3 linked regions of the Lonchura striata genome follow. The protein of the gene in region 1 interacts with the protein of each later gene in a pairwise test. Links are inferred from orthologs where the notes say so. Each region holds a gene or a part of one and is shown on either strand. Other genes may lie near its edges.

The links.
Region 2: the proteins of AMOTL2 (region 1) and RAD51D interact in binary tests that used the Homo sapiens proteins (3 or more experiments, as listed by UniProt). The two-hybrid records come from large-scale screens. The link is inferred for Lonchura striata from reciprocal best matches to the Homo sapiens genes AMOTL2 and RAD51D.
Region 3: the proteins of AMOTL2 (region 1) and keratin, type I cytoskeletal 20 interact in binary tests that used the Homo sapiens proteins (3 or more experiments, as listed by UniProt). The two-hybrid records come from large-scale screens. The link is inferred for Lonchura striata from reciprocal best matches to the Homo sapiens genes AMOTL2 and KRT20.

Annotation. Positions count from the first base shown.
Region 1 is NC_134612.1:5,558,347-5,566,095, forward strand, and holds the start of AMOTL2 (angiomotin-like protein 2), read right to left. Parts: upstream 3,014-7,749; 5' UTR 2,932-3,013; coding exon 2,228-2,931; intron 922-2,227; coding exon 699-921; intron 212-698; coding exon 67-211; intron 1-66. UniProt on the Homo sapiens protein: Regulates the translocation of phosphorylated SRC to peripheral cell-matrix adhesion sites. Required for proper architecture of actin filaments.
Region 2 is NC_134622.1:6,004,111-6,011,744, reverse strand, and holds the start of RAD51D (DNA repair protein RAD51 homolog 4), read right to left. Parts: upstream 3,007-7,634; 5' UTR 2,976-3,006; intron 2,625-2,975; 5' UTR 2,597-2,624; coding exon 2,515-2,596; intron 1,906-2,514; coding exon 1,844-1,905; intron 1,694-1,843; coding exon 1,575-1,693; intron 1,348-1,574; coding exon 1,266-1,347; intron 1,168-1,265; coding exon 1,033-1,167; intron 625-1,032; coding exon 529-624; intron 344-528; coding exon 253-343; intron 1-252. Other genes in the region: UNC45B (protein unc-45 homolog B), read left to right, coding at 5,710-5,871, 6,144-6,180, 6,465-6,640, 7,198-7,287. UniProt on the Homo sapiens protein: Involved in the homologous recombination repair (HRR) pathway of double-stranded DNA breaks arising during DNA replication or induced by DNA-damaging agents. Bind to single-stranded DNA (ssDNA) and has DNA-dependent ATPase activity.
Region 3 is NC_134627.1:6,792,127-6,800,100, forward strand, and holds the start of keratin, type I cytoskeletal 20, read left to right. Parts: upstream 1-4,968; coding exon 4,969-5,391; intron 5,392-6,162; coding exon 6,163-6,245; intron 6,246-6,454; coding exon 6,455-6,611; intron 6,612-7,117; coding exon 7,118-7,279; intron 7,280-7,360; coding exon 7,361-7,486; intron 7,487-7,652; coding exon 7,653-7,873; intron 7,874-7,974. UniProt on the Homo sapiens protein: Plays a significant role in maintaining keratin filament organization in intestinal epithelia. When phosphorylated, plays a role in the secretion of mucin in the small intestine.

The sequences.
Region 1 (7,749 bases):
TTCCCATGGAAACAGCTGAGGGACACAGAGCACCCATGGGGATGTGGACACAAAGGGTCCCCTCACCTTTCAGGTCTCGGTTGAAATCCTGCAGCCGTCGCATCTCACAATCCCTCTTGTTCCTCATGGCTTTCTCCAAGGCTTCCCGCTTGGAAGACGCCTTGACAAGATTTTCATAATCCTCTGAGATGCGCTGGATCTCGCTCTCCAGCTGGGGTGGAGGAAGGGACAAGCCAGGGTTAGATATTCATGGAATGAGGAAAGGGAGATGCCAGCCAAAGCCCAGCCAGGGTGCTCAGCCCAAACTGAGCTGCTCAGTGCACCCCGAGTAGGCCCCCAGCACATGTTTTGGGGGGGAAAACTGATTTTTTCGGGCTTTTCTCTTATGGAAGAGTCTCTCCACGGATTTTGGCTCTGCCATAGCCCAGCCACGGGGAACAGCCGCCCCTTGTACGCGGCCACACAAAGGGCTTTCTGTGGCGGCCGGGATGGGGGGACAGGCGGAGGGAGAGGGTCACTGGAGAATGGGCTCCTTCTCCCCAATCCCGGCTGCCGTGCTGCAGCTGCTCCGAGGGGAACAAGCCGCCAGAGGGAGGAGGAGAAAGGATTAAATCACTAAAGGGGGTGAATTTTCACGGCAGCTGGTCGAGCATCGCCCCGGGCAGGAGGGACACGGGAAGCTGCCACCACTCCCTCACCTTCTGGATGCGGCTCGCCTTCTCGGCACAGCTCTCCAGCTCCCGCCGCAGCTTCTCGCTCTCCCGCTGGAGCCTCTCGTTCTCCCGCAGGACGGCGTCTGCCCGGGCCAGGCGGCTGCCGGCCGACACCGCCTGGGCGCTGACCAGGGCCTCCACGCCGGCCGGACCCAGCGCGCCCGGACACAGCGGCAGGAACGCGGCCGGCACCGAGGTGGGCAGCACCCTGCAGAGAGCGAGGAGGGCGAGTCAAGGTTTGGCAGGGTGGGAGGGCTGGCTGCAGCTCCAGCATGCCATCGAGCACGTGCCAGTGCCTCCAAGTCATCTCGAAGGAGGTGGAAGTGCCTATCCTGCTTTTTTAGAACTGGGAAGCGCTCGCTCTCTAATCACAAATCCCATCGTGCAGGGATGCATTGACCTGACCCCTCCAGGACCTGGGCAGTGGGTCTGGATGGGCTCCCAACCCCCCAGGTCCCTCTCCTCCTGGCAATGCTGCAGGCAGCCTGGCATAGGATGCACCTTGGAAGCCAGCCTTTTCCTTATTTTCTATGCAAAGCAAAGATTCCTGACATAGGTCCTCACTGCCAAACCATGGATGCATCCTTTTTATATTTGGAGGAGCCAGGCCAGCCTGGCTGCCCCTTGTGCCACTGCTGCAGCATCCCACCTCAACATCCTGCCTGGAATACCCTGAGCAGGGTGGCTGTGCACGGCCCGGCCCCGCTGTGCTCCCCTGCGGGCTGCCCGCCAAGGGCCCGCATTCCTGCGGGATGATATAGGAGCAAGGAAGAATAAATACATCTTCCTCGCAGCTCCCCTTCCCCTCTTTGTTCCCTGGAAGGAGAAGGTTTTCCTGCTGGAGATGCTATCACTCTCTGCCTGGATAGATCAGCAGGGCTGGGAGCAGTGTGTCCTCACATTGAGCCACCAGTTCCCTTCTTCCCATCATTTTCCACAATGGAAGAGGCTGTTTCCAGTCCTTCTCAAATTCTAGGTAATGTCTGGACCACAAGATGTCCATCTCACAGTCACCCTGGAGCGTTGCCAGAGGTATTGAGCTGCCAAAGGAACCACAGACCACCTGGCACCAGCCCAGGCTCTGCTCAGCAGCAATTCCAAGTTACATGGACATTCCCAGCTCAGGACCATGACATGACATGTGGAGCAGGGACCATATTTGTTTTCCACCCTGCCCCATACCTATTCCACATTTATCTGTTTCCTGGGCTGCTTCCAGCTCCTAGATTATCCCTTAAGTTACCCCCAGCTCCTTCCTGGTGCATGGGGATGAGGCAGGGTCTGCTGTGGGAATGGGATTTTCGTCACTGGTTGGAAAAGCCCAGCCGTGCTGGGGGAGCTGGGGACAGGAGCAGAGTAGGGTGCTCCCGGCAGACCCCCCATGGCCTGTGCCAGTGAGGACAAAAGCAGCTGCTCTGGGCCCCCACTGCCCTTCGCATCCTGCAAGTTCCAAACATCCATCCTGGACATTCCTGGGAGGCATCCAAAAGCAGAGCCCAGGGGCCAGAGTTTACCTGATCTCAGGATGCTGAAATCCAGGACCTTCCCGGGAGCAGGGTCGGGGCTCAGCCAGGTAAGCGTCCTGGGAAGGGATGACGTAGGGATACTCCGGGGGCGGTCCCCGCGGCTCCGTGCCCTCGGGGTGCTGCCCGCGCAGGGGGACGAGCTGCCGGGAGAGCTGCGGGAAGCTGTGGGAAGCGCTGATGGGGCTCTGCGCCTTGGCCCCGTTCCTCTCCAGCGACATCCGCATGAGCCGCTCGCTCAGGGACCGCACGTGGCCGTGCTTCAGCTCCTTGAGCGCCTCGTCGGGGCGCCGGGCGCCGCTGTCGGCCCCGCGCGGACCGGGCTCGAACCGGAGCCCCGCGCCCGCCGCTCCCCGCTGCGAGGCCAGCAGCTGGGAATGCGCCTTGGCCTCCTCGTAGCTGGGGAGCTCCTCGCCCTTGGGCGGGCAGAGCCGATAGACGCTGTTCTCCAAGTAGACGTGGTCGGAGTGATGCTCCTGGCCCTGCGGCTCCTGCCGCGTGGATTGCTGCACCATCTGGCTCTCCTCCGGGCTGAGGCTCTCCAGCGAGGAGCGGGGGCTCCCGGCGCCGCCGCCGCGCAGAGCCTGCTGCTGGATGGCCAGCAGAGTGCGGTTCTCCGTGAGATTCCCATAGCGCAGCTGCTCCTGGATCAGGCGGTGCAGCACCGTCCCGTTCGAGTCCTCCGCCGTCCTCATGTCCGTCCGTGCCGCCGGCAGAGCCACCTTTCCACCCGGGAGGGGCGTCCCGCGGGACCTCAACAGCAACTGGGCACGCCGAGACACCTGCAAGAGGGAGAAGCGGGGTTGTTGCGAAGCAGTCGGGGCAGGAGAGTCCGGATCCTGATGGACACGGGATTGTTTGCCAGGAATGCGGCCCGGACGTGCCGGAGGGGTGGGAGCCCGTGGCGGCAGCGGGAGAGCGGAGCAGCCCCCGCACTGGGGTGGCCGAGCACCGGCACTGTCAGCGAGCCCGGGGCCGGGGCTGCCTCCAGAGCCGGTGCCCCATGGAGCCGGGACTGGCACTGGCCCGGGAGTGGGGGATAAAGCCCCACGGGACCGGGCACAGAGCCACCGGGAGATGGGTGGGACCACCCCATCCCCAGACCCGGACATGGAGGTCCTGGACTTGCAGAGGTGTCCCAGTCTCGGTGAGGGTCCTGGGACTTTTCTGTGGGGCAAGGGGGGGTGCTCTAAGTGCCGTGGGGATGTTCCTGTCCCGTTTGGGAGAGTTCCAGGAGTGTTCCCAGTCCCTGGGGGTGGATCCGGTATGGGAGAGGGTCTTCCCCGGGAGGGTCCAGGTGCCGGGGGGGGTGAGTCCCGATCCCAGGGAGAAGGGTCCCGGCTCCCGTGAAGGGATCCCAGTCCCGACTGGGGGCTTCCTTGGGCCAGGGGGGGTCGATCCCGGTCGAAGAATCCCAGCCCCAGAGGGGTGTCCCAGTCTCGGCCGGGAGGATCTCGGTCCAAGGGGGTCTCGGTCCCGGGATTGTTGGTCCGGGTGGGTCCCGCTGCCGAGAGAGGTCCCGATCCCTGCTGGGGGATTCCCGGTGCCGGGGGAGCGTCCTTTCCCCGAGGGGCCTCTCCGTATCCGGGCACCCCAGTGCCGGTCGGGGGTCCCGATCCCAGTCGGGGGCGTCCCAATGCTAAGGGGTTCCCTGTGCCGGGGGGGGTTGGGCGGCAGTACCGGGGGATTCCCGGTGCTGGCGGGTCCCGATGCCGCTCGGGGGGTCCCGGTGCCGGTCAGGGGGGTCCCGGTGCTGGGGAGTTCCCGGCGCCGGGGGGTCCCGGCGGCAGAACTCACCGGGGCATGGCGGAGCGGAGCGGTGCTGCGGCGGCTCTGAGCGTCCCGGAGCCGCGGGGGCCGGGCCGGGCTTTGCTATGCCCGGAATGTGGGGCCGGTCCCGCCCCGCTCCGCCCCGGGGCCGCCGCCGGCGCAGGAGCGCGGCCGGGAGCGGGAGCGGCAGCTGCGGGCGGGGGGGCGGCTCTGCCCGCCAGCTGTCCCGGGCCGTAAATCTGCCCCAGCCTTTGTCTGCGGGGCCGGGGCAACCCCGAGCCTGCTGGCCCCATCTGCTCTGCCCCCTCGGGCCCCCCCTTCTCGCACCCCTCTCTTTACATTCTCCCTTTTCGCATCCCCCTCGCCTCGCATTCTGTGTCCTCTCATCTCCCCTCCTCTTATCCCCCCTCCTCTCATCCCCCTTCCTCGTGTCCCTCTCCTTACATCCTCCTTCTCACATCCCCCCCTTCACATCCCCCCCCCCCACACCCCTGTCCTCTCATTCTCCACCTCACATTCCTCCTCGTGTCTTCCTCCTCACATCCCCCTCCCTCACATCCCCCTCCTTATGTCCCCCTCTTCGTATTTCACATCCCACTTCTTGCATCCCCCATCTCTCATCCCCCCTCCTCACCTTCCCCCTCCTTGCATCTCCTCTTCACATCTCCCTCCTTGCATTCCTCCCTCCTGTGTCCTCCATCCTCACACCCCCCCGGCTGGGGTTGCCAGCTCGCTGTGGATGCAGCAATTCCTGCCAGCTCGTGTCTGGGTGCCCCTGCTGCTCTCCCAGCCTCAGTTTCCCCTGTTGGGCTCTGCCACCCACCTCCCTGGGGGGACACAGGGATGGAGGAGACCATCAGGGGCCGAATTCCCCCTTCAACCCACCCCGGTTTATCTCTGGGGGGACACTGAGCACCCCCAGCCCCAGAGCAGTGAAACACCAGCCCCGTCTCAGCCCCGGGCGCCCCAGGCTGTCAGTGCAGAGTCCAGAGGCCCCGAGACAGCAGATGGCCGGAGGGGAGGCAGCGGGGAGAGGCAGGTGCAGGGGAAAATTGCTTATTAGCTCCGGGACATTAAGCTCCCATTCTTTTGAGGGAACTCGGCATCTTCTGACTGGCACAGAGCCGGGAGGATGATGTGGGGAGAGGGATGTGGGGATCTCCAGCCTCATCTCCTTGTTTTCCTGCTCCATCACACGCTGGTATCACCCCTGGGGCACCCAGGGTGCAATAGCAGGCACAGGCTGCAGGCACAACTCACTACCTCTGGGTTATCTCCCAAAAAATGGGGAAATAAATAAATCTCCCATGTGCAGCAGGTACCAGACTCAAAGGCAGGGGAGCATGGAAAGAAAATGCAGAGAGATGGAGTCGGTACTTGGAGGAAGAGGAGCACCTGGAAGTTCAAGAAACAGGTTTTCCAGCCCAGTTTTCCTAGTGACAAGTCAAATCCTCATGGATGAAGGCTGAAATGTGGGAATTGGCACCCTGAAGACCCAGTGAGGGTCTAGTTTCATGTGGGGAGGAGATGAGAGCACAGCACTTGTCCCTGTGTCCCCAGGAACATGCAGAGTCTGGAAACACGGGCCCAGGCCCAGCACCATGGGGATGGATGATGGATGGATGGATGGATGGATGAATGGATGGATGGATGGATGGATGATGCACCACTCCAATATACCAAGCCCAGCAGTGGCATTTCCGAAAGGACCTAGCTGTGGTTCTGCCCTGCTCTTTCCCAGGTGGATGGGGCTCCTACCTGAGCTCCAAGGGAGCAGCCCAGCTGCCCCAGCAGCCAGGATTCTTCTCCTGGCTCGTCCCCCAGCTTTATCTATGTTTGTGTCATCCTTCCCTTCCTATCTTAACACCGCTCTATTCCTGGCAGCAGGAAACCCCTCCTGGGCTGATAAGACCCCTTTGGAAAGTGATCTGAAGAGTTCCCTCTCCTTCTTTCTAATACTGGAGGTACGAAAAGCCTCAACCTTTTTGTTTTCCCCAGGAGAAGGTGAAACAACAGCAGCTGGACCTGTGGGCAGTGGTGGGGGCACCTTTGGCTGCCTGCACGGACCCTCTTCCCAGGTGGAGCATCCTGGAGGCTGGGGTGGGGACTCGGTGTCTGGCTGGAGCCAGGGAGGTGCAGGTGCCGTGTCCCAGGCTCCGGTGCCGTGTCCCAGGCTCCGGTGCCGTGTCCCAGGCTCCGGTGCCGTGTCCCAGGCTCCGCGGGGTGACACACGGCTCCGCAATGCCAGACCCTCCCACTGACCTCAGCCCAGCCTTATCGCCGAGGCGTTGGAGCGAGGAGAGGGAGCCAAGAAAATACTCGTGGGATGAGATCACCTCGGCTGTCTTCAGGCTCCCAAAATGCCTCAGCCCTCAGCCGTGCTGAGCCTGGAAAACTGGGGCATTGTGGGCAGAGGTGGGTGCCTGGGATGGAGAGGAGGTTTGCAGCCTCAGCACATCTCCTGGGGAGATGGTGACAGTGGTGACAGCATCCCGTGACCAGTGAGCCCCACTGGCAGTGTCCCGTGACCATGCTGAACCCCTCAAACCTCTCCATGGCAATCTTCCTGATAAAGCTTCCTCCTGGTACCTGCTTCTGTCCCGAACTCTGGATTCAAAGTGCAACCAGGAGCTGGAGGTCAAGGAATTGCACAAATGCTGTTTCCCAGTGCCAGGATTGCCCAGGCTGCCTCCAAAGGGAACTGCATCCCCAGGGACAGGTAGCCAAGGCAGCACCCCAGCCCTTGCTCTGCTCCCACCATCCCACCCAGAGGGATCCTATCCTCCTGGAGATACCCCCACAAGCTGCCAGGCCTGAGGCCAGCTCATCTTCCCTGTCCTCTCTCTGAAATCTGCATCATTTTGGGTTGTCCCAGGTCTGATCCCCCTGGAAATGTGTGACCTGGAGTGCTGCTGTGCAACAGAGCAAATTCCCTTCCCAAAACTCCAAGAGGGAACACCTCAATGTGACTGGGCAGGGCATGGGTGGGATTGGGATGCTCCTGGTTGTGCCAAATCCCCTAATCCTGTTGCTGCTTTGTGACTGATATGGCTCTTCCTCAGTGGAGGAAGGAATGGAAATATCTCTCTCCACCCAGGGGAAAACCTTGGTAGGCTTGGTGGGGACACAGCTGGAGCAATGAGGGGACCAGGACTGATCCCATCTGAAAGAAGCTTTTGGGGACATCCCCAAGAGATGAATGCAGCACTGTTCCCACCTGTCCCATCTCTCTGGGGACAGCCAGCTCCTCCACACCTCAGGTGTCTCTCCCAGAGTCAGATCCCTGAGATTCCCCTTTTTTCCAGGGGCATGCTGGATCTGCCCCAAGTAAGGATCACAGAAATTTGGAGTGCTCCTGCTCCCTCTCCTCCACATTCTCCTGGGTTCTTTCCTCTTCTGCAGCTGATCTATAGATCCCATACAGATAACCCAGGGCACATCCCCACTCCAGAGACTCCTGCCACAGTTCTTCATCAATCATACACTCTGGGAAGTGGTGCCACAGGCATCTTCACAGAGCCCCTTCTTAGGAATTTTGAGAGGGGAAAAATGTGGCTGAAAACAGGGCCAGGACCCTCCTCGTTCTCATCTTCCCTGCATTTTAATGCCCCTGAGTCATTTCCATTCCTGGATGTGAAATTGTTCTTTTCTGCTTTCCTTTATTTCCCTGTTTCCTGCGAGGGGTTTGTTCCTGACCTGCTAGCACCAGTGGGACCCAGTCCAGGGAACGCTGAGGAGATGCC
Region 2 (7,634 bases), on another chromosome or scaffold:
CTCTGCAAACTGTGCCATGATATATTTCTGTCACTGTTAAGTTTTAATTTGTGGGCAGAGTCCAGTGCCTCCCTGGATGAGTTTTAGACCATTGCCACAAGCAGCCACAGCCAGCTGAAGTGTTTGCTGCTAACACTGCAACAGGCCCCCCCCTTTTATCCAGTCCCAAGGGAAAAGCTGGGAGCAGTCACATCCACATCTACCCTGTTCCAATCCCCATTCCAGGAGCAGCTCCCACAGTGAGCAGCTCACCCTCTGACTGCCTGCCACCCAGCAGAGGGTAAATCACAGCCGACACCGAGTCCAGAACCACCACCTTGAGAGGTCCCATGGAGCTCACGACCTGCAAGGAGGCACCAGGTGCAACGTGGAGTCACAAATCCAGCAGCTCTGGAGGCTGTGAGCTGCACAGAGGCTCCGACATCCCCAGGATGAGGCAATCTGGAGTCACCTGTCAGGCACACACAAGCCCTGCTGCCCTCCCTGCAGCTCTGGGGAGGGGAGAGGGGCCCCAAGGCTCACTCCTACCTGCTGGGAGAGGCGATCCCGCAGCTCCTGCAAGGCACGCAGCACCTCGTAGATGTTGAACACACGTTCTACCCTGACCCGCTGCAGGGCCTCCAGCTGCAGCACAAAACACAGCCTCAGTCCCCCCAGGATTTGGCCTATTCCTCCTGCCCCAGCTGCCCCAAGCTCTCTGCACTCACACCATGCCACATTCCTCCACATTTGCCTCCACCCCATTAGCACCATTGCCCCCATGGCACTGATGGAAAAGCAACATGTACTGAGCTCAGGGAGCAAAGTCCTGCGAGTCCTGTAAGTCCTTCCCTTCTCCCAAGAAAAACAACAAAGAGCAGAGTCTGTCCTGAGCATGGCACCCACTGGGCCATGGAAGGAAGGGTTTGGACTCAAAAAAGCCCATGAGGACAAAGGCAGAGCTGGAAAGACAAACCATCTCTGGGGTTTCTTGCAGGCAAAAGCAAAGTGAGTTTCAGAGCAAGCAGAGGAACCAGCTCCAGGGGAACTTGCCTGTTCTTCCTCATCCTCTGTCTGGGCTTGGAGCATCTGGTAGAGACGGGAGGCAGTGAAACCCCCCGTGGAGTCGAGAAACAAAACATGCTGCTTGAGCCCCAGGGACACACTGGCTGCAATGCCCAGGCACACCTGGGGGAACAGGGACAGGGTGTCAGCCAGCCTCACGTGTCCCTCTGTGGGACATCTTCACCCTACCTGTCCTCTCCTCTGTCCTCCACCCCGCTCACCTGCGTCTTCCCAGTGCCTGGTGCTCCCATGAGCTCCATCACTTCCCCTGTGTACAGCCCCGAGTCCAGCAGCTGGTCCAGGCTGTGGGATGGACACAAGGTGGGATTACCAACACCCCTTCAGCCAGAATGGCAGGAGCATCAGGAGGCAGCAGTCCCCAGATATTTGTCCTCAAAGTCGCCTTCCCAAATGCACATAGGTGCACGGGGATGGTTTGGAGAACAAAATTCAAAGCTTGTGCTGGCAACCACAGCCTTGTGCAGCAAACCCAGCCCCAGACAGAGCTGGTGGGTGGGTGAGGTCCCCACCTTGAGCTGCCAGTGGGCAGGATGGCAGTGGAGCTCTTGAGCTCCTCGTAGAGGTCTGCTCCGTTGGCAGGGAAGGCAGAGAACTGGGCCAGGAGCACACGTCTGACTGCGACCAGCGCCTGGGGGCAGAGGGATGTCTGGAAATGGGACTGATCAACAGCCAGCAAGTGCTCCAGAAGGGCTCCCAGACAAGCCCATCCTTGTCCATGAGCCAAACAGCTCTGAGCTCCCTGGTTTATGTACCAGGAGTGAGGAGTAGTCCCTTCTACCTTGTAAGACAGGGAACACTTTTGGGCAACATCCTCCAGGTCTGATGACACGAAGTCCACCACTGCAAATAACATAAGGGACAAGAGGTTGGAAGCCAAACATGGTCAGACCACAAACACCAGAAGACAACCAGCTTAGACAAAACCTGCACCAACAAGCAAAGAGGCTGTGCCCTCTGTCAACACTGTGAGTGGAGGAGTTTTTCCTCTGAGATGGCCCCATCACTCATCACAAAATAAATTGTTTCTTGTGAAACAGAGCAGAGAGAGAAGCTGGTAAAAATTGTCCCCGTTTTGCTCAAGAGCTGCCCAGCACCTTTTCTTTCTCCTCTAAGGGCAGGAGGTGCCCAGGGTACAGCATTCCAAGAAGTTGGGCATTTTTCAGAGGAAAAACTGCACAAACCCTCCTGAAATACCACAAAAAAAAGCCACAAATTATCACTCCTCAAAGAGCCTCTGCAGGTATCTCTTACCACGTCCTTACACTCTCCTGCTCCTTTGAATAAGTCCTCACTCACAGTATCCACCCAGGAGGACCCAGAAGAAATCCAGCAAGGAGGACACAGAAGGATATTCCACCACCACCCTCCCAGGATGTGGGAGGACACAGGTCCACCAAATGCACGGGGGATGATGTTCCCCAAGCCGAGACCCCGATGCCACGCTGTTACCTGTCCTGATGCCATTGGCGCTGAGAAGCTGGATCATGTCTTCAGAGAGACCAGGGCAGAGCCCAGCCCGCAGGACCACCATCGCCACCGGGAGGGAGAAGAGCAGAGACCTGCGGAGGAGAGGGGGAGTGGGATTCATGGAATCATTAAGGCTGGAAAAGACATCCAAGATCATCAACTCCAACCCTGCACCGCCAGGTCCAACACTGAGCCACGGATGGCGCCTGCCCCTGAAGCCGGGGAGAAGCCACCCAAGCTGTGTTTGGGATGGGTGGTTACGGTGGGTAATTAATTCTTCTTTGGGGCCAAACAGCCCAAAATCCTGCACGGGGCTGGGAGCAGGGAAGCACAGCAGGCGGGGAGGCTCCATCCCGGGACAAGAGGACCGTCCATCCCGAGCCGCCTCCATCCCGAGCCGCCTCCATCCCGAGCCGCCTCCATCGGAGCCCCACGGAGCTTACCCGGCCCGGGCTCCCCGCAGCCCTGCCCGCTCCTTCCTGCTTCCTGCCGCCGGCGGAAAGGCCGGGGCCGCTCCTTTTCCCGTGCCGGTTCTCCCATCCCGCCGGGGTTCCCTTCCTTGTCCCGGCTCTCCCATCCCGCCGGGGTTCCCTTCCTTGTCCCGGTGCTCCCATCCCGCCGGGGTTTCTCTTCCTTGTCCCGGCTCTCCCATCTCACCGGGGTTTCCTTTTCCCAGCCCGGCTCTTCCATCCCGCCGATGTTCCCTTCCTTGTCCCGGTTCTCCCATCCCGCCGGGGTTTCTGTTCCTTGTCCCGGCTCTCCCATCCCGCCGGGGTTTCCTTTTCCCAGCCCGGTTGTGCCATCCCGCTAGGGTTTGTCTTCCTTGTCCCGGCTCTCCCGTTTCGCTAGAGTTTCCTTTCCCCGTCCCGTTTCTCCCATCCCGCTCCGGTTCCCTTTCCCCATCCCGACTCTCCCATCCCGCTGGGGTTTCCTTTTTCCTTTCCCCGTCCCAGCTCTCCCATTCCGCTAAGGTTGTCTTTTCCCATCCAGGCTCTCCCATCCCGCCGGGGTTTCCTTTCCCCGGCCCGGCTCTCCCATCCCACCGGGGTTTCCTTTTCCCATCCAGGCTCTCCCATCCCGCCGGGGTTTCTGTTCCTTGTCCCGGCTCTCCCATCCCGCCGGGGTTCCCTTTCCCCGGCCCGGCTGTCCCACCCCGCTCCGGTTCCCCTGCTCTCGCCGGGATCAGCACAGCGCTAAGGTCCCTTGCCACCCAAACCATGCTGACTCTGTGACACTCCCGGGACTGGCTTTGTCCCGGCTCATCAGGCAGTGCTGCTCGCTGGGAAATGAAGGCGAACGAAGGGCTGGGGACTTTGCTGCCATACAGGTGTTGGGAGCTATGTGTCCCTCCCTGGCTGCCCTGGAGGCTTGAATTTCTCCTGGGAAAACTATTTTTGGGGGTATTTATTATAATTATGTTTTTCCTTCCAGCCGAGGCCTGAAGAGGGCTCTCGGCACTCGCTGCTGAGCCTGCCCTGCAGTCCCAGCTCTGCCTCGAGCAGCGGCTGCACCCAACATTTGATTTTGTAACTCGGTTTGCCTGCAGTGCTGCCGCTTGTGGCCATGCCGCTTGTGGCAATGGAGCTGTACTCTGGCTGACGTGAGAAAGGCCAGTACCTAAAGCCATGTTGGAAGGAGTTTCTGGTGTGTTAATCCAAATGAATGCTGGAAAAGCCACTGCACTGAGTCTGTCCAGGGCAGGGATGGCATCTTACACTTTCCACAGATGTTGTCCTTGTACCTTGGACCTGTTCTCCAACAGGTATAGATGTGGGAGCTGCTCTTGATGAAGCTGCCTGCAGTTGTGGTTGATGCTTTGCTGTGAAAGGATTTACAAATGGATTTGGAATCGCCTCCTGCCTGTACACCAGGGACCAGGCAGTGCTGCTGGTGTGGGGTGAATAAAACAGGAGGCCTGGACAGGGAAGTTCTGTGCTAATTCTTTCTGCATAAGAGCCACAAGCCATAACACAGATAACACAATTAAAGACAATGATATTTTTGCTCGTGGCAGTGTCTGGATCAGCCCATGCTCTCCTCAGTCATTTCCCCATCCTGGCAGTCCCCACTTTGCTTTATAGCTGGGATGCTGGCAGGTGAAGGCAAGGCCTGTGTTTAGGGGAAGATAAATCAAAAAGCAGAATTCCTGGGGAACAGAGTGGGTTGAAAGGTTCAGCTCTCTTGGAGTTCAGTGCTGCTGTCTCCTGGTGCCACTCAAATTGAGCCACTCCTCACAGCACTTCCAGTATGTTCCAGCCCAGTCCTCTGTGTTAGCCCACCTCAAGTGTGGCTGAATGACCACGTGTGGGGTGGGTGGCAGCACCAGACTGGGGTGGGATTTCCAGTGGGATGGGCTCCCAAATGCCCTGCAAGGAGGAGGAGGAGGAGGCAGCGCTGGGTGTCAGTCAGCTTTCCATCCCAGGGAATTCTGGAAGGTGCTGGGCACTGCTGCAGCTGCTGGCCTGGGGCCACTTGTCCCTGAGGCTCAGCTGTCTCATGCTTCCCTAAATAGAATGGGAAAAGGGTCTGAGCACTGTGACAGGGGTCAGCCATCCCAGCCGTGGGTTTTTTTGGCGTGAACCTCCCCCTTCCTGCTCCCCACACCCTTTGCAGCTCTGCAGGCAGAGGGGAGCTGGGATTTGCCCTGGCAGGTGGGAGAGGATTCCCTCTTGCTGCAGAGGGGTGCTGCCTGCTTGCAGCCAGGTGCCCCCCGAGCTGGCCCTGGCTCCCAGCCCTCCTCAGGCGTATAAAGCACGAGGGGACAAGGAGGGGACAGGCTGTGGTGACAAGTGACACTGACAGGCAGCAGGAGCTGCCAGGTCCTGCCCAAACTTGGAGTGGGAAGTGAGCTCTGTCCTGAGCCACACAGACTCTCCGTAGTGCTGGCAGATTTCTTTAATTCCTTTTTTTGTTGTTGTTTTTCTTTCTTTCTTTCTTTCTTTCTTTCTTTTTTAATTTACTTCTAAGGATTTATATTGGTGGAAAAAGCTTCTGAGAAGTCACAGCCTTGAGGAGCAATTTAGGTCTTCATTTTCAAAACTCTTTGGCTTGGTAAGCTGCTTTTATTAATGTGTGTTAATTATGTGTCAGTCTCATGGTGGAACTCAGCTTGGGGGATTAGCAGGCAACCCAGGCAAATGGGACACAAATGGATGTTTTTTCCTTCAAGCTCTCCAGATGGAGGATCCCATTCAGCTGAAAGAGGAGGGCAATAAATATTTTCAGGCCAATGATTATGAGAAAGCCCTTCAAAGCTACACTCAAGCCATAAAGCTCAACAAGGACAAGGCTCTGCAGGCGGTGCTGTACAGGAACAGGGCAGCCTGTTTCCTCAAAAAGGTGAGAAAAGCTCCCCTCACCTGGGCAGTGCTCAAGGGGAGAAGAGCAGGAGGGCAGCCAAGGGCACTCACTGGCTGTGGACTGGGTGGTTTGTCCATTTATTGAATAGGGTGTTTCCAGCTGGTCTGAAATGAAATGTTCTGGGCTTGTGCTGGAGCTTCACTGGGGTGTCCCCCTGGGAAATGGGAACAGAGAGGTCCCAATGCCCATCAGCAATGGGGACATGCCCTGCTATTGCATGGCTAACAAATCTCTCCTTTCTGGTTTAACAGGAGGAATATGCCAAGGCAGCCTCGGATGCATCTAGAGGTAAGGAGGGGGTTGTTATGAGGAGAGCTGGATCCATTTCCTCAGCCTGCTCTCACATCTGCTTTTGGGACATTGTGGCCTTATTCCTTGATGTCCACTAACAGCCAAGTGCTGAGGCCACAAGGGAATTCCTGGAAGTTCAAATGATGTTCTGATTTGGTGTGCTGGTGCAATCAGTGCTAATGAGGCACTGATTGATGCTAATAACAAAGCAAATCACAGTTTGCACAGGCCATTTCCAAGCAACAAGCTCTGATGCCTGGTGTTTTGGATCCCTTTCCCAGCTATTGACATCAATGCTTCAGATATCAAAGCCTTGTACCGGCGCAGCCAAGCCCTGGAAAAACTGGGGAAGTTAGACCAAGCATTCAAAGATGCTCAGAAATGTGCCACCCTCGAACCCCGCAACAAAAACTTCCAGGAGACCCTGAGGAGACTGGGGGCCAACATCCAGGAGAAGGTAAATGCCAGGGGAACAGTGCTGGATTCACAGACCAGGGGTGGGAAATCCTTGCTCTGGGTTGCATCAATGGGTTGTTGGTCATACTGGAAACTCGTGGCCAATATAAGGTGATAAATAGGCTCCATTGACTGGAAGTTCATAATTGATGTGTGTAAATCTGAGGATTGGGTTGATTGGTTAAATTTAAAAGTGTGGCAACTCTCTCCTGAGGCTGGCCTGGTTCTGAGTGTCTTGCAAAGGTCTTGGCAAGGGTCTGGACCAACTTTGGGCTGGGTCTGGCAGTTGCCACATTGCTAGAGTTGCCTTTAGAGGGGCGCTGTGAAGAAATCCTTGCATCGCTACCTACTGTGAAGTCTCAGAAATTAAGCCTTAGGGCTGGCTCTGCCTGTGCCCCTGAGATGGGTAATGGATACTGATTGCTGAGAAATTCTATCTCCTGTTATTCAGCTTAAATTGCCTGTGGTTTGAGGGCAGGGAGTATTCTTGAAGTGAAAAAGGAAAGCTGCTCCTCGATTTTCTCCTCCTGATGCTCTGTGCTCTCTCTCTTGGCACAGCTGCGCATTCAGTTCTCCACGGACTCGAGGGTGCAGAAGATGTTTGAGATCCTGCTGGATGAGAACAGCGACAAAGAAAAGCGAGAAAAGGTGAGAACTGCCCTGGACTTGGCAAAATGGGCTGTTTGATGGCAGAGGCTGCTCCAGGGAGCAGAGCCCTGCATTCTCTTCCCCACCTCCCTTGGATGGAGGTTGAGGGAAGGAGCTGGAAGGAGAACTGCACTCAGAAAGAGGGAAAAATCACCCCTGTGCCAAGGGAAGGTGGCCCAACCTCCAAAAATACCAAAGGTGGGATCAGCCTGGACTTCTGCTCAGGTCCTGCCATTCTCCAGGTATTCCCTCCAAGCAGTGACCCACTCTCCTTGTGCAGAGCAGAGCCAATCCCTAAATGCACCTGTCTGGTGGAGTCGGAGCTGATCTGCTGCATCTGTCAGGAG
Region 3 (7,974 bases), on another chromosome or scaffold:
TAGCCCATTCTTCTTGCCATTGCTTCCAAACCCATTCCATGCACAGCACTGAACTCCGTAATTATGGCTGGTGGCTCTGAAAATAAATACTCCTCTAAACATTTGGCCACAAGAGCGATGCAACTAAATTTCCTGTTGATATAGGGCCAGTAAAGTGGATACTTATGAGACATTTCCTTATGTAATGCGTAAGTTTTATTCTCTCGTTCAAGCTCCGCACGGATTCTCCCGCGGTGCTCACACGGCAGGGCTGGAGGCAGCTCCGTTCCGAAGGCCGGTGGTGGCCTCTAGTGACAACCAGGTAGATCCGCACGGAGCCCGCTGCCTGTCCCCGCTCCTGCCGCTCCTCCGGGGCTCCTGCGGCTGGGGAACAGCTTCTACCGGGACATTTCTGCTGCGGTGTTTGTGCAGTGAACGAAATTAGCAGTGCCAGACTCCCTCCAGGGGAGTATGCAGACGGATTTTCGGCCCGTTTCCTTTCTTTTGCTTTTTTGGTATCTGCTTTCCTGACACAGATCTTGATGCTGGGAGGGTATTTTGGGTTGTAAGCAGCCCATAGCTTGTTCCTGGTTGTACAAACCCCGGGAGTGGGGATGCTGTGGGATCGCTGGGATGCACTGAAAGGATGATATTCCAGAGAAGTCCCCAAACAAGAAGCTGCAGCTACCCAGGCACTCCTGGCATTATGAGTGTAATTTTACCCTGGGGAAAAAATTGAGTTTTTCTTCTGATTTGGGGGCTCAAGGTGTGACACAAGTGAGATCCCCAGAACCACAATTTTTTTTTTTTTAAGTAAGCAAAAAATCTACACGGATATGAACATGTGCAATACAGTGTGGTTGTACATATCTTTTACAGTGTACAATCAGTGTGTACCTATTTGCACAGGGCCGTGAAAATTGTATTTGCCTCCTGAATCACAGAAGTATGCAATATTTTTCATGGATACTGAACTACTCCAGCATTATGGAACTGAGAGAGTCAGTAGGATGGTATTCTCTCCAGTTCACTGGTTTTCTCTTTCCCTTGATACTTCAGTTGCACAGGGTTTTTCCAAGGGAGAGAGCTCTGCCAGCAGTCCTGTGTTGGAGTTGATCTTAATGGCACTTTTGGGGAAGAAAAAAGAGAAGGTTCGTTTGTGTGGCCTGGAGCTGTTTTTGTTGGCACTGAGATCTGATTCTGTTCAAGGAGAGCAGCTGAGACAGGAAAGGCAGCTCCTGACTTTCATTTTCCACCTGTGGCTGGGGAGGGATGGAACCCACACACTGCCTCATGCACCACTCCAGGAGCTGGAACACCTCTCTAAGTACCATAAATATGTAATGTTTTAACTTACCCCTCTGGTCAAAGCTCCAAGCAGAAAGAAATAAGATGTAGTGGTTTGATGACTGAGATATTTTCATTGGACAAAAGATAAAACGGAGAGGGAAATGAGGGGAAAAAAATACGTGAGGCAGACAGTGTAAGATCTTGAACTGCAAATGTTCAGGGCCTAGGTGAATCCAGCTGAGTTGGTGACATCATCCAGAACTTTCTCTCCTCTGATCCCATTCAACAAAACACAAAATACCTTGCTTTGCTCTTTGGAGAGAGCAGGCTTCACAGGCATTGGCATTAACAAGAGATGTAAGGGTAGTTAAGAAAAGAAGGAGGGGAATATCTCAGACCCAGAAATATTGAATACTGGAATAAGGCTGGAACACTGAAAACAGAATGCTTCTCCCCTGAGAGCAGTTTGCATAGCAATGTCCTTTCAGGACTGTAGCGTAGCTCTTTCAGAATCAAACCCTTATGATATTAAACCCAAACACAGGGGTTAACAGGGACCAGCAAAAGGGTGCTAGATTTCACTCCTAGAATGGATCATCTCTACTGACTGAACTAGAAGACTTTGCTTTATTTCAGTCTCTATGTCAGCCAAAAGAAAAGCATCTGTTCCACCTAAAGGCAGCAAAAATGCAGACCCATAGCTGGGTGTGTCTTTTTTCCTTGAACTCTCCAGACTGGTTGCCCATGGCTGGTTAGCACAGGTGAGTCAGATGGAATGGCATCCACATTATCAGAGCCCTGCAGAACTTATCTCCATGGCCTTCTAATGCACATTAAACTTCTGTCACACAGGTGACATTTCTTCATTAAATCAAACAAATCATTAGTGTTGCTATAAATGTTTTATTACATTTATAGGCAATCCACTCTGACCAAGGACAACACTGAAGGGAAGTGCTACCTGTGAACACACAGATTGTGCTTTACAGCTCCCACAAATGAGTCTGGAGCTGAAACTGCTCTGCTGAGCTAAGCACCAGCAAACTGTTACAGCACTTCTTCAATGCTGACCAAAATTGCAGTACTGGACAATGTATTTTTAGGTTGCCCAACATCTCTTTAGATAACTTAATCTTACAACCAAAAAAATAAAAAAATAAATAAAAATGAGGCAGCCATGTTCTTGCAGAAAATTCCTGGGCATAGTCCAGGAGTGGAGGACGCTGAGGCCACTCCCAGCTGACGCCTTGAGGAGCCCCTCACCCTCCAGCCCGGCTGGGGCCTCGTCCTCCTCCCACTGCCATGGCTGCAGCTGCAGGGCTCCCTCTGGCAGTTTCCACTGATTGATACAACCAGTCAAGATACATCTCACGGAAAAAAGTGTACTGAACCAAAACCAGGAGCAAACCCCACCTCTGATGTTGATCTATCCTGATCCTAGCAAGTATTCTTGCAAATATTCTGGCTTTTTGGGGAGGAAATGATAAGGCCAGAGAAATTGTCCGTGAACAATTGAGGGATGAGAATAAAAAGAACACTAAGAAAATTCAGCTTTGTATCTTTTCACGTTGGGTTTGCATGATGCCATTGCTCCTTGCTTCCTCTTGCATGCATCTTGGATGCTTCTGCTGAACAGTCCATAGGAAAATAATTGCTGGAGATTCAGCTTCTAAAAAAGCAGCAGAGTCATAACACAAGGCAAATGTCTGACCTAAGCCTGATGGTCACCTTCATTCAGATCACTGACTTCTTTTTTTCATTTGTTCACATAATAAAAAGAAATAGAACCTCCAAATTATGTTTAAAACAATATCACCCAGGTAACATGGAAACTAATTTTAATACTGAGAAGAAAAAGCAGAATGTTTGCTCTTAAACAGACTGCCACACAATCCTGCAGAGATCTAGGCAGTGAGATACAGAGCCAAGGAATGTAAGACCAGCAGGATCTCTTCTGTACTCCTCTTACAGTCGAAAGATGTAGAGTCTGCTCTACTAAAATGAGCAATTCTTACTCAGCCTGAATAATTTCAATGGAAAAATGACAACCCACCCTAAGTCTCTGTAGTGACACGCCAAATGTCATGGCCACTGTACTTTGGTATCATATCTCATAAATGTTTTTTTATTACAAGTTACACCCAAAGAAGTTCAAGGTTCAAAGACACTCCACAGCATCCTCTTGGAAAGAAAAATCCTGCCCTGCACACTGATTGCTTTGGTTTGGAAGCTGTGTTTCCAGAACAGCCAAATATAAGAGTTTAACTCTCTCTCGAGTCAAGACCAGTTAGATTAATGCCTAGCATAGTAACTTTAAAAACTTGGCAGTACTGATTCCCTAATATATTGGGTATTCCCTAATACCAAACTATTCTGGTTTGGGTGCTCTCCAATACACGTTTCAATGCCTCCAAAGCTCTGTGTCTCACCAATTTCCTTGCCCCAAGCTGGAATATCAGTAGGTACAGCAGCTGCTCTCACTAACACAAGCCATGTGTGTTCATTGTTCTACCTGAAAACATCAGTAGCACACATAAGCACTGTCAGTGCAATGCCCCAGGAGCTGCACCTCCTGCCACCCACTCTCCTGCACCACTAACAACCCCTCAGCAATCAGGTTTTTCCTTTGCTTTACAAATTCTCCATGCACTTTCTGCATCAAGGGTACTCCACAGTTAGCTCAGGAGCATCCTCCACACGATCAGCAGCAGGATGGTTGAGTCTCTTCATGCCATGGAAAGGCAGCTGGTTTCCTGTTAATGACCACAGCCCCTGGGCTGGGGACAGACCCCCCAGCATGGTACTTGTTAGCTGATGGTCTCTGATGAGGCAGGAGGGAAACTTGTTTTGCTTCAACTTCAGCCACACTGGAGGGCTGGAGGGTCGTTCTACTGGAAGCTGGAACTTAACACTTCCTGCCAATCTATGGACCTCAGCATTTCACATGTGAAACAGTGGGCTGTGAAGGCTTCCAATATTCTCATTCCTCCTACCTTATTTAAATAAATATTCTTTCCACTCAATCTCAGCTGTACTGAAAGCTCAAATTCAACTTGCAATGGTTTTCTTATACCAGACAAATGTATATTCAATCCAAGCTGATGGCAATAGCCTCCACTCTTCACTGACAGTGCAGATGTTGGTTTGTGCTCACTATGAAATGAATTCACATGGTAGTACAGCTGCCTCCTTTCTAATAATATATACACTGTTCTAGAATGTCCTGAGGCCCAAGTTATTGCTTACTCAACAGAAATATAAATATTTTAAGTCTCTTTTCACATATAAGCAACTCTCATTTTAAATTCATGCACTGCATAGGGGGATAAGAACCTACTCATTTGTTTCAAAGGGCTACAGAGAGGGTTGGCTGCAGGTACATGGTTATAAATTATTCAACAGATCATTTTTTGTTTATCTGTTATACAAAATAACAAAGCAAGCAAACTACCCAGGGAGTGTTCCTCAAACACAGACGAACAGATGAGAACCCCTTCAAATTATGGGGAGGGGGGGGGCAATATCCTGTGTGCTCTTTGTACTGATATCAGTGACACTCTGCGTCAACATAGGTGGGGTTTCCAGCCATTGTGCTTCCTCTTGGACCTGTATAAAGGTGCACAGTGCACACTCAGCTCCTGACTGGCATCTCAATCTGTGCTGATTTACCTGCTTCAGTCTAGAAGACAAAGAGCACAAATGGCATTCTCCACCCGCAGCATCCAGTGGAGTACGAGCAGCCGTGTCCAGCCCTCTGCACCCAGTGTCAGTAGTGTGACCTCCAGGAAAATGTCCATCCAGAAGATCCAGGCACCCAGTGTCTATGGGGGAGCTGGGGGCTATGGCACCCACATATCAACCAGCACCAGCTCTGGCCAAGGCCTCAGAGGGAGCCTCCAGCTCAGCATCACTGGGAGCGATGTGCTGCTCGCTGGCAATGAAAAATCAACGATGCAAAACCTGAACGATCGCTTGGCTGCGTACCTGGAGAGGGTGCGCTCACTGGAGAAGTCAAACTCCCTGATTGAGAGGCAGATCAGGGAATGGTATGAAAAGAACACCACAAGCATAGGGCAGGACTACAGCTCCTACTTCAAAACAATTGATGAACTCCGAAACAAGGTAAGAGGTCATAAAGCCCTCCATAAATATAGGAATTGCAATTATCAGTGAGATAGAGAATAATCTGTTGTAGAAAATGTACTTTTCCAAATTCGCCTAGCTGGGAAGAAGTTTATTTTTGATCAGCTACATATTAGTGACAGATTTTAGATAATTTGTAATACCAGTAATTATTCATAATATGCCTGCAGTTGTGAGCAATCTCATACCTGAAAAAATCTGTGACTCAAAATTAACTAGTTCTATGATATTTGCCTTAGGTGGCTTTAATTAGAGAAAGTACTAATGGTAATCTACATATTCAAATATATTTTAGCAACAGTCTATTTCAAAGTGGTTTATTAGAAAAGAAGGGCAAGCACTCAGAAAAAAATTAAAGACCACCACTTAAAATAGTAAATTACCACTGGAAACAATGAAATATTCCAAACACTCAACTGACATGTTTGTCAAATCATGTTTCCAGAACTTTCTTCAGTCTTTTCCCTTTTATTTTTTATCAGTTCTACTTCCCAGCATTTAAAAGCAGATACCTTCAGAGAACAGTTCATCCCAACTATTCAATACACTTATTTTATAGCAGGACAATTTGTCTTTTGGACATCCCTAATTCCTTTCATGCACTTCAGATGGAACTTAGCTTAAAGCCAGCGGACCAACAGACAGCTGAAGTGAAGGAGGATGAAGCCTACTTACAGTATTCATTCCCAGGAAAGGATCAAGTGTGAATTTCTGTGCAAAGTTTCATTGCTTATCCACCATTCCCTTTAGATTTCTGCTGCCCAGATGGAAAATTCCAGACTTGTCCTGCAGATCGACAATGCCAAGCTGGCTGCTGATGACTTTAGGCTGAAGTAAGTTCCATGATTTTATATCAATTCTCTTTCATGATCCTCTTATTTAGGAAAGCTTCCACTTATTGGAATCAGTGACAAGAAGTGAACATTTTCCAACTTTAAGTTTAATATGACTGTGGTTACTGATTCTAGAAGCGGTTACTGATTCTAACATTTACTCCAAAGTGTTGCATTCCAATGATGACAAAAGGCACTGTATTGTACAGGTTTGAGAATGAACACCTGCTCAGGCAGAGTGTGGAGAGCGACATCACTGGACTGCTCCGTGTCCGTGACGACCTGACTCTGACCCAAGCTGACCTGGAGTCCCAGATTGAGAGCATAACCGAGGAGCTCGTTTTCCTTAGGAAGAACCACGAGGAGGTGAGAGCAGCTGACCACAGCCAGGGAGAGGGGCTTTGTGTGGCAAACACAAGCAAGCTCACTAGGAAGCATTTCTATCCTTTCTGGAAGCAGCATTACCATGTGTGACCCAAAGGGACATTCAAGCTATCAGGCATCAAAGGCTGAACACTCCTCCATTCCAGGAATGAAGGAGTAAAGGTTTTCTCTAAGAAAAATTTATGGTTCAGGAATTGCTACCCCAAAAAGTACACAAATGGGAACCATGACTTCTGTCCTCATTCCACAGATTTGTTCTGAGGAAATCATTTTTATGATACATTTATCTATGGTATAACATTTATTGCTATCAAGTAAGTGAACTGTTCTGCGAGGTGCACTAAACAGTATTTACAAGGTGATTAAATTGTCTTGCCCCAAGATACTATTAAGGATTAGTCCTATGTGTGTAGATGTTGAGTTTGTGCCCAATGCCCAGGAGTGAGAGCTCCCTGCAGCAGGTGCTAACACAGTCCCCATTGCTGCAGGACCGTGACAGGCTGCGCAAAGAGGCGGGCGGCTCTGTGAACGTGGCGGTGGATGCTGCTCCCGGCATTGATCTCGCTGCTATTATGGAAAACATGAGAAAGCAATATGAAGAAATGGCAGAAAAGAACCGCCAAGAAGCCAAAGAACATTTTGAAAAGCAGGTAAAGTCCACTGCTTAAACACCAGCAAGAACATTGGTCATGCCTGGCTGCAGTTCACAGTCCCTCTATTCCTCATTCCAGACAGCAGAACTGAACCAGGAAGTTGCCCTCAATGTTGAGCGGCTGGAGGTCCAAAGGAAAGAGATCACGGAACGGAGACAGGTCCTCCAGAACCTGGAGCTGGAATTACAGTCCCTGCTGACCATGGTAAATAACAAAAAGCAAGATAAGGACTGTAGATATCAGAGAGTTACATAGAGGTGTAATAAACAGAGGATAAAAAGATAAATAGAGGAATCAATCAAAATGTTATTTACAATCAAAATGAATAATATGTCAATGAACATGTCACTGTTCTTCCCATGCACTATAGAAACAGACCCTGGAAGGCACTCTGGCTGAAACGGAATCACGGTACAGCTACCAGCTTGACCAGATACAGGCAGCAATTTCCAGTCTGGAGGCTCAGCTGAGGCTGCTCCGAGCTGACATGGAGGCTCAGAACAGTGAGTACAGCATCCTGCTGGATGTCAAGACTCGCTTGGAGATGGAGATCGCTACATACCGCCGGCTGCTGGAGGGAGAGGAAAGCGGGTGAGCACACACATGGCTTTGCGTGTTGGTTTGGGGTGAGCACACACATGGCTTTGCGTGTTGGTTTGGGTTTCGTGTCAAATCTGCCTCTCTCCAACTGC